2 linked regions of the Daphnia pulex genome follow. The protein of the gene in region 1 interacts with the protein of each later gene in a pairwise test. Links are inferred from orthologs where the notes say so. Each region holds a gene or a part of one and is shown on either strand. Other genes may lie near its edges.

What was found. The genes of interacting proteins can lie anywhere in the genome.
Region 2: the proteins of BTB/POZ domain-containing protein kctd15-like (region 1) and SUMO-conjugating enzyme UBC9-B interact in a two-hybrid assay, tested with the Drosophila melanogaster proteins (2 studies listed by BioGRID). The link is inferred for Daphnia pulex from reciprocal best matches to the Drosophila melanogaster genes twz and lwr.

Annotation. Positions count from the first base shown.
Region 1 is NC_060026.1:14,341,874-14,346,792, reverse strand, and holds the start of BTB/POZ domain-containing protein kctd15-like, read left to right. Parts: upstream 1-1,674; 5' UTR 1,675-2,112; intron 2,113-3,403; 5' UTR 3,404-3,471; coding exon 3,472-3,509; intron 3,510-3,852; coding exon 3,853-4,304; intron 4,305-4,374; coding exon 4,375-4,434; intron 4,435-4,517; coding exon 4,518-4,919. UniProt on the Drosophila melanogaster protein: Functions with the transcription factor TfAP-2 to regulate octopamine neuronal signaling pathways that control behaviors such as male aggression, male mating, and the initiation of feeding.
Region 2 is NC_060018.1:632,621-635,622, forward strand, and holds SUMO-conjugating enzyme UBC9-B, read left to right. Parts: upstream 1-1,274; 5' UTR 1,275-1,427; exon of another isoform or gene 1,428-1,521; 5' UTR 1,522-1,530; coding exon 1,531-1,596; intron 1,597-1,671; coding exon 1,672-1,755; intron 1,756-1,868; coding exon 1,869-1,986; intron 1,987-2,048; coding exon 2,049-2,193; intron 2,194-2,263; coding exon 2,264-2,342; 3' UTR 2,343-2,502; downstream 2,503-3,002. Other genes in the region: receptor-type guanylate cyclase Gyc76C-like, read right to left, coding at 2,942-3,002.

The sequences.
Region 1 (4,919 bases):
TTTCGGGATTTTTTATTGGCTTTTGTTGAATTGATTCGGCGTGAAACGACCCCCGTTCGTTTTTAGCCGCTGCGGTTAATGACCCGTTTCCTTATTTTTAATGTATTTTGGTCTTTTGTAAAAGAGTGTTTTCTTCTTCTTTATTTGGCACGAAAAAAATGTTGAATGCAAAAGGAAAGAAGAAAGAAAACCTGTTTTATGATGAAGTTCGTTGTCCAAAGTGACTCACTTCATGGGTGTGTGTGTGTCAATAATTTTTCGGGGCTCTCAATAAATTGGCGTTCAAAACGAGCCGTTTCTTCTGAAAATATCAACTAGCCCCGAGCTAAAGTGAGCGGTCGTGATTTGCGCAACAACAAAGTGAAAGGAAAATGTATTGACAATTAATGCGCGCGAAATTTGAATTTAGTTTTTTTTTTCAAAATTCCCGTTTTCCCCACACAACGTCTATATACACAGTTAACGTCCAGTCTATTGTGTGTGCAGCAGCCAATGTATGCGCACACACACCTATTTAGAGAGATCAACAGCCCCAGCAGGTGATGTGTGATTCCCATCACTAACAAAAAATGCCACGTCAGAGATGGACCGACGGACCGACGGACAGCATTCCTGAACGTTACGGTGCGCTTTGCTGCCGGCGGCTTCTTTAGACACATCCCACTGGCACTTTGTTTTTTTTTTAAATGCATTTCACGGAATGTTATTTTTCGAACATTTTGAAATAATTTTTTTTTTCCTCCTATTTTAATTCATTTAAAAAAAAAACTTAAAATTTACCCCATTTAATTTTGATTCTTATTAAAAAAGGAAAACAAACCTTTCGGTCGTGATCATCCGCTATACCTCAGTCGAGTCCCGGGGCTCTCGTCTCACCCTTTCGTTACAAGTTTCGCTGCTTATTTTCTTCATTTAGCTGGAAGCTAAAAAGAAAAGAAACGAATGTGCCAGTATATCTTTCTCTCGGCTCCGTGTGTTTGAAGATGAACGAGCGCGGAGTAACTCTCCAGCGCGTGCGCCATCAGTCCACACCGCCCAGAGGCTTTTGACAAAATAAACCGTGAAGACATCTGGAAGATTGTGTGTGTGTATATACGGGGGGGAGAAGAAAAAAAAAATTATTAAGAGCCTACAGCCATTTTAATTTAATCCAATTTTTATTGCGTCAATTTACGGACGTAAAAAAGAAAAAAAAGGTAATTATTTATTTAAGGCTTTCCCAAAAGAGGCTGGAAAACACTTCGTGGTATTAAAATAACTTTCATTATTACGACAGTGAATGCTGTCATTGCATAATTTATGCAAATGTGATGAACGGCTGTAATGCTGATTGAAATAGACCCTCAATAATCATTTCCCCCCCAGAAATTAGAATATTCAAATTTCGCGGGTCAACGAAAAATGAACGATTATCCGTGAAACAAAAATAATTATTATTCATCAGAAAATCGCAATTCAAAGTTTAGTAGCCTATTTATTAATTTTCCGTAGAGTATAAAAATCAAAGGGCAACTTTATTGATCCACCACGTCATTTGAGTTCCTAGAAATGGCGGGTGGGAACATCATCAACTTTGCAATTTCCCAAAAAAAGAAGAAGTGGGAGGGGGATATCTACTAAAAATAAAAATAATAAAAAAAAGGAAAATAAATTTAACCGGTTGTAGTTGCAGAGAGAGAGATAGGTATATATCCAACATCACTGGAAGCTGTGCCGGAGGCTTTTTCTCCATCTCTCTCTCTCGTCCGATATATTCCAACCTATACCCTTTGCTCTACGGAGGCACTTGAGGCACTTTTTTCCAGCTAAAAAAGAAAAAAGAAAAAAGAGGTGGACCCCATCATGCAGCAGCAGCATCTGTCCAGTGCTCCAGGCATCTCCTATAGGATCCGCCAGCTAGGCACCGCAGCTTTTCAAAGACGTTCAGTCTCCGTCGAGCGTCCGTCCGTGAAACGTGCGTGTCGTTTTGACACTTGCGTCAGCTCATTTTCAACATTTTCGAAATTGTTTTTAACCGCAGAATAAAGAAACGGATTTTCCCTCAATAATGGACTGCTGCTGCCGGTGTTGATTACTGGATGATTATTGAAATTTTCCAGATAGTATAATTAGGTAAGTTTGATTTTTCAATTATTATTTCTCTCGGAATAATCGTTCAAGCGGATCCGCTGTTTTTAAATGTTTTCGATTCTTCCTGCGGCTGTACAGTTTTTTTTTCTTGATTTCACGTTGTGTATTTCTTCTTTTATTAGTTGGGAGAAAAAGAAAAGAAGAAAAAATCACAAAATTATCAAAGGTATTTGCCTGCAAGGGTCAGCCCAGCAAAGGCCACGGGGCATCGACAAATTTTTGTTTTTTCTTGTCCCTTCTCTTTTTTTATTTTATTTTTCTGCTTTGGGGATATCACCTGATTTTTGCTCACCCCACCTGGGCAGAAAATGTTATTTTTTTTTAACGGATCGGAGATTTATTTTTATTACGGCGAAAACACACGCACGTCATATCATTGGCGTGTTGAAATGTCTTTTGTTTATTTTTCTTGGCGCACCTTTTAGGAAAAACTGTTAAAATCTCCTGATGACGTCATAACAATTCTAGATTGGGGTCAAATGAAATGTGCGATTTTCTTTTTGATTGTTACATCCGCGTGACATTCGATATCCGCGCACCTGTTGTCTTATTCTATTCAACAGTTTGCACAAACTAATTTTTAAAAAGTAAACGGGGTTGATTAGATCATCATGACCACTCGATTATTAAGATCCCGTTTTTATTTAAATTCTAGATGGGTCGTTATTTTATGATTATTGTTATGGGTGTTGTGACCTCGGTAATCGAAAAGATCAGTAGACACAAAAACATCCAATCGTTCCATTTTTGGAAAACAAATGAGTGCGGCCCTTTTTTTCCCGTTTTTTTTTTAAATTCCCGCAGGTCGTCCGTGTCCAAGAGGCAGAACCTGAAACCATTTGCTCGCCCTCCGCTATGGGTGGATCTAAAGGATATGGTTAAAAGTTAAGATATTTCGAAAAAAGAAAAAGAATATGTAGGTAGAGAGAGATTGGTGCCGGGCTTGGCCGCGAGGCAAGTTGGAAACTGGCCATTTCTGTGTGGGTACACACACACATACTCAATCCGAAAGAAAATCAAATAATAAAAAAATGAAAAAAGGATTTTTTACTTTTTTGCTTTGCTTGAACGGTCGTCAGGGGAGGAAATGAGAAATCAAAATGTTATTACTTGTTCTCAAATTGATATCAGTCTCTCTGTCTAACGGGGTTGGCCTTAGGGTATTAACTATCCTTTTAAAATGTTTGGTTATGTGATGATACCCCGTCATCCGCTACAATAATAATCCATATTCCGAAAATTGATTTTCCTTGTTTTTTTCTTTCTTTCGTAGAAATTTCAAATAAATTTTCAAATAAAAAAAGGGACGGACGTAGTGGATCAAAAAGTCCGGGCAACAACATGCAGGTGGAGAGAATGATCGGCAAAGCGCATTCCAGGTAACAACATTTTTTGGAAAGATTATTTTTCGGATGAAAAATAATAGAAAAGCATCCGGTTATTCCGGTAATCCGCTTACCTGTATAAATAAATCAGAAAATTTAATCAAAATTTGCTTGACATTTTAAAAGTTCACGGTTCAATTGAAATGAAATTTTTTTCAAATTAAATTTAATTCATTTAAATTTGAGCGGGATTTTCAAATTAAATTTAATTCATTTAAATTTGAGCGGGATTTTCAAATTAAATTAAATTCATTTAAATTTGAGTGGGATTTTTAAAATTTTTCTTGGATGATAGATAAACTAATTAGAGTTGATGTTAATTTTAACTTTGTGATAGGCTATTATCTCCGAGTTTATCTCCGGCGACGTCACCGACGTTGAGCGCCGTGTCGTCACCGGCTCCCCAAACTCCGACGCCCACGACGACGCCGATGCTCCAGGTGATCTCTTCCAATTCGGCTTCTTACACGCCCAAATTGGCCGGCATCCCCAGCGTAGCGGCGGCGTCTCGTTACACGGCGCCCGTTCACATTGACGTCGGCGGGACCATCTACACGTCGTCGCTGGAAACGCTCACGACGAGATTCGGCGAGTCGCGACTGGCCAAAATGTTCAACGGCGGCATCCCCATCGTCCTGGACAGTTTGAAGCAGCACTACTTTATCGATAGGGACGGCCAGATGTTCCGGCACGTCCTCAATTTCGTCCGCAACGGAAGACTACTCCTCCCGGACGATTTTGCCGATGTGGAACTTTTACTGGAAGAGGCCAAATATTACGACATCATCCGTAATGATTATTCTTTCATTTATTTTAATTTAAATTGTTAATTTTTCATAAATTTTTCTTTAAATAATAGCCATGGTGAAAGCGTTGGAAATGTTGCGGATGGAAAGACGGACGCGGAATGGACAGTACGGTAAAAAAATAAAATAAAATTACTGTTTTAATTTAAGTTAATTTTGTTTCTAAATTTTTTGAAATTTGAAAATGATTTTCCAGGTGATAAATTGTACAACAGCCACCAGCACAACGGTCATCCGGCAATGCCGAGTTCCAGTCCGGTTTCGGGGTCCCGTTGTTCGCCCGTTTCTGGCGGGATGAGCGTGACTGGTGGCGTCCGGTTACGTTCGGCTGTTTCATCCAGCAACCGGATGGATCACCAGCAAAATTCACCCGGCGGAGGCAGTAGCAACGAAGGCGGTGGCGGAGCTCCAGGTGTGGCCGGTTTGACGTGCCGGAAGGATTTGATAGCCGAAGATTCCGGTTCGCCCGGAGATGATTGCAACAGCCGCTTGGGTTGGGAGTGTCTAGCCCTGTACGTCAGTCCCGATTTGGGCGAGAGGATCATGTTATCCGGCGACCGGAATTTGGTGGAAGAAATTTTTCCGGAAATCGCCACGC
Region 2 (3,002 bases), on another chromosome or scaffold:
TTATTATCAGCTCATTTTAAATCAACATTTTGATCTTTAATTTATTGATAAAATATCATTATCATAAAGAAATTTACTTTCCACATACCTGCTCACTTTGGTGACAGTAATCTCCTTTCATGCAACGCCATATATTTGCATTCAAACGTGCGAATATGTGAAGGGAACACGAAGCTTTCAAGACGCGATTCCCCAGTACTCATTGGTTACGCCTAATAATAAAATTATAGTTAGTAATCTGAAATAAAACATTTACAATTATGCTCTATAATATGATTGACATTTCTCTGTAACAGCCAATACTGACGAGGAGTTATATTCAAAAGATTTTTTTAGATATGGACATTATTCTATTACTTGACAGTTAACTTTCTCAGAAGCATCTTCCTGAGCCCTTCAGGAGTCATTTGTTATTCAGTGCAATGGTAAAAATAAAGACAGACTCACAACAATATTACATAGCACACTACGTTTCCAAGCAAGAAATTAGTTTAAAAACTGGCACATGTAATAATCTTTGAACTATACAAAATAGTGATTCAAGCACTATTGTTTTGTGAAATCACCAATACATCATATCTAATGAGTATTTAACAGGATATTTTCCGCTTTGAGATACCCAAGTATGTTTCATTCCCTTCCACTTTGGCACTAACACATTCAACCCTTCTATGCGAGAAGTACCTAGCTGAAACAACCATAATAGGGAATAACAGATCTTCATTTAATAAATTTAGAGTTTGTGACCTAATATGACAAATTAACTGATGTTTTCATACCTTTCTGAACATTCTATATCAATTTTGTAGTTTCCCCATCCACAAAGTTAAACTGAACTGAGGCTTTAGGATTAGAGATTATATCATTCTTAATTCATTCGAGACATGGTTGTTTGCACCTTTTTTCGTTTTGTCTTCGTGTGATACCTTTGTGGTTTGTCACTAGTTGATTCACGTGTTCGAATATTCTGGAAGCATTACGTAAACGACGCTTGGCTTGTCTCGAATGTTGAACGATCAAAGCTACATGAGATGGAAGATATCAATGATTTTTTTTAACACTTGATTTTTCAATTTGGAATTTAAACAAAATACAAGAACTTAAGATGCATGCCTGTGTGACTCACTGCTCTGTTGTTTTTTGAACCATCTGGGCGCCATCTTTCATAGGCAGTGGCAGCATAGCCAGTTCATTTTTAATTTTAGTTGATGAAAACTAAAACTAAAAATGCTTATGCATGCTACAGCCAAAATGGTTTGATTTCATTGAAATCCATATTTTACATGCAAATGTTTCATCATTTATTCGTTTAAATCCCCAAATTAAATTTTAAATTGATTTGTAATTATTCGAATTACCTTAAGGCAACCCTGGCAATAATTGTACGAAACTACACAGCTAAATTATTTGGCAGCCGTTGAAAAAAGGTAACTATTATTTATTTAAGAGCTGTTGCATCTTGCTTTCTTCAGTCATATTCACACTTTCTTATTACATCACACTGAAATTTTTATTCTCTAGTGACCAATAATGTCCGGTATTGCTATTGCTCGACTTTCTGAGGAACGTAAAGGCTGGAGGAAAGACCATCCCTTTGTAAGTTGCTGGTTTGCCAAACGATAGTTGTTGGGTTGTGTGTGTTTGATTTGTGTATCTTTGCGTTGCCTTTAGGGTTTTGTTGCCAGGCCCACAAAGAATCCTGATGGAACCCTCAATTTGATGAACTGGGAATGTGCTATTCCAGGCAAGAAATCGGTAATGAGTTTTACACTTAAAGATCTTACTTCACATTGGTGTCAGATATACTTACCAAATTCACTGTTGTTTGAAGTAACAATATTAAGTGTAACTTGTGCATACATTTACAGACTCCCTGGGAAAATGGATTGTACAAAATCCGTATGATTTTTAAAGATGACTACCCCTCTTCTCCTCCAAAATGCAAATTTGAGCCCCCACTTTTCCATCCAAACGTCTATCCATCAGGTTGAATCAAATGGCTATTTGAGTGTTTTGTTTTAGCTAACCTTTTGGCATTTAATATCCAGGCACAGTTTGTCTATCATTGTTGGATGAAGAAAAGGACTGGAGACCTGCAATTACCATCAAACAGATTTTGCTTGGAATTCAAGATCTCCTAAATGACCCCAATATTAAGGATCCGGCTCAGGCAGAAGCTTATACTATCTACTGGTAATGATTTTTACACCAGTAGACAACTTGAAAGTTTGGATTGTAATATTTCATTTGATTATTTCTCCAGTCAAAATCGAATGGAGTACGAAAAACGTGTTAGAGCACAAGCCAAGGCTATGGCTGCCACCACTGATTTGCTGTCTTAATTTCCCAAGTAAATCCAGCTGTCAAGGAATAAGTTAACTTCTTTTTCTTTTCCACGTGCTCTATTTGTTTTTTAAAAATTCTTATTGTCTTCATTTCAATACTTACTTATCGTCCAGAAAACATACTCCGATCTGAAATAAAACGCTAAGTAAGGTGTAACACTTGTTGACCTTTTTTTTTTTCAATTACGTCACTTGACTATTTTATTTGGTTGTGACCTACTTTGTTGATATGCGTTTTATCTGGCGAATATCTGATTATGAAGACCAAACTTCTTTTAACTACTAGAATTCATCAAAGGCTCTCTTACCTGATTAAAATTTGAACTAAATGGGTTATCGATGTACAAAGTGCAAAACAAGGTATGTAAAACAACAACCGATTTATCACAATATTTTCAGCAGCGACAATATTACAGATACACTAAAATCAAAGAAAACATTCCGACTTGAAATCGATTAAAAATCTTAACCGAGAAGAATCGGAGATCGGGTATGGCATTTTCAAATGGCGAAATATACGAATCACGAAACAAGTAAAGCAAATTTGTCATCATGTAAAAAGACTGTGGAGGATGCAAGAATAAGGAGGCGCAATTTCACACAACGCTTTCTCTGTCATCACGGTGGAGGTCGGAAAAGTCCTCTCCCGTCTGCGGA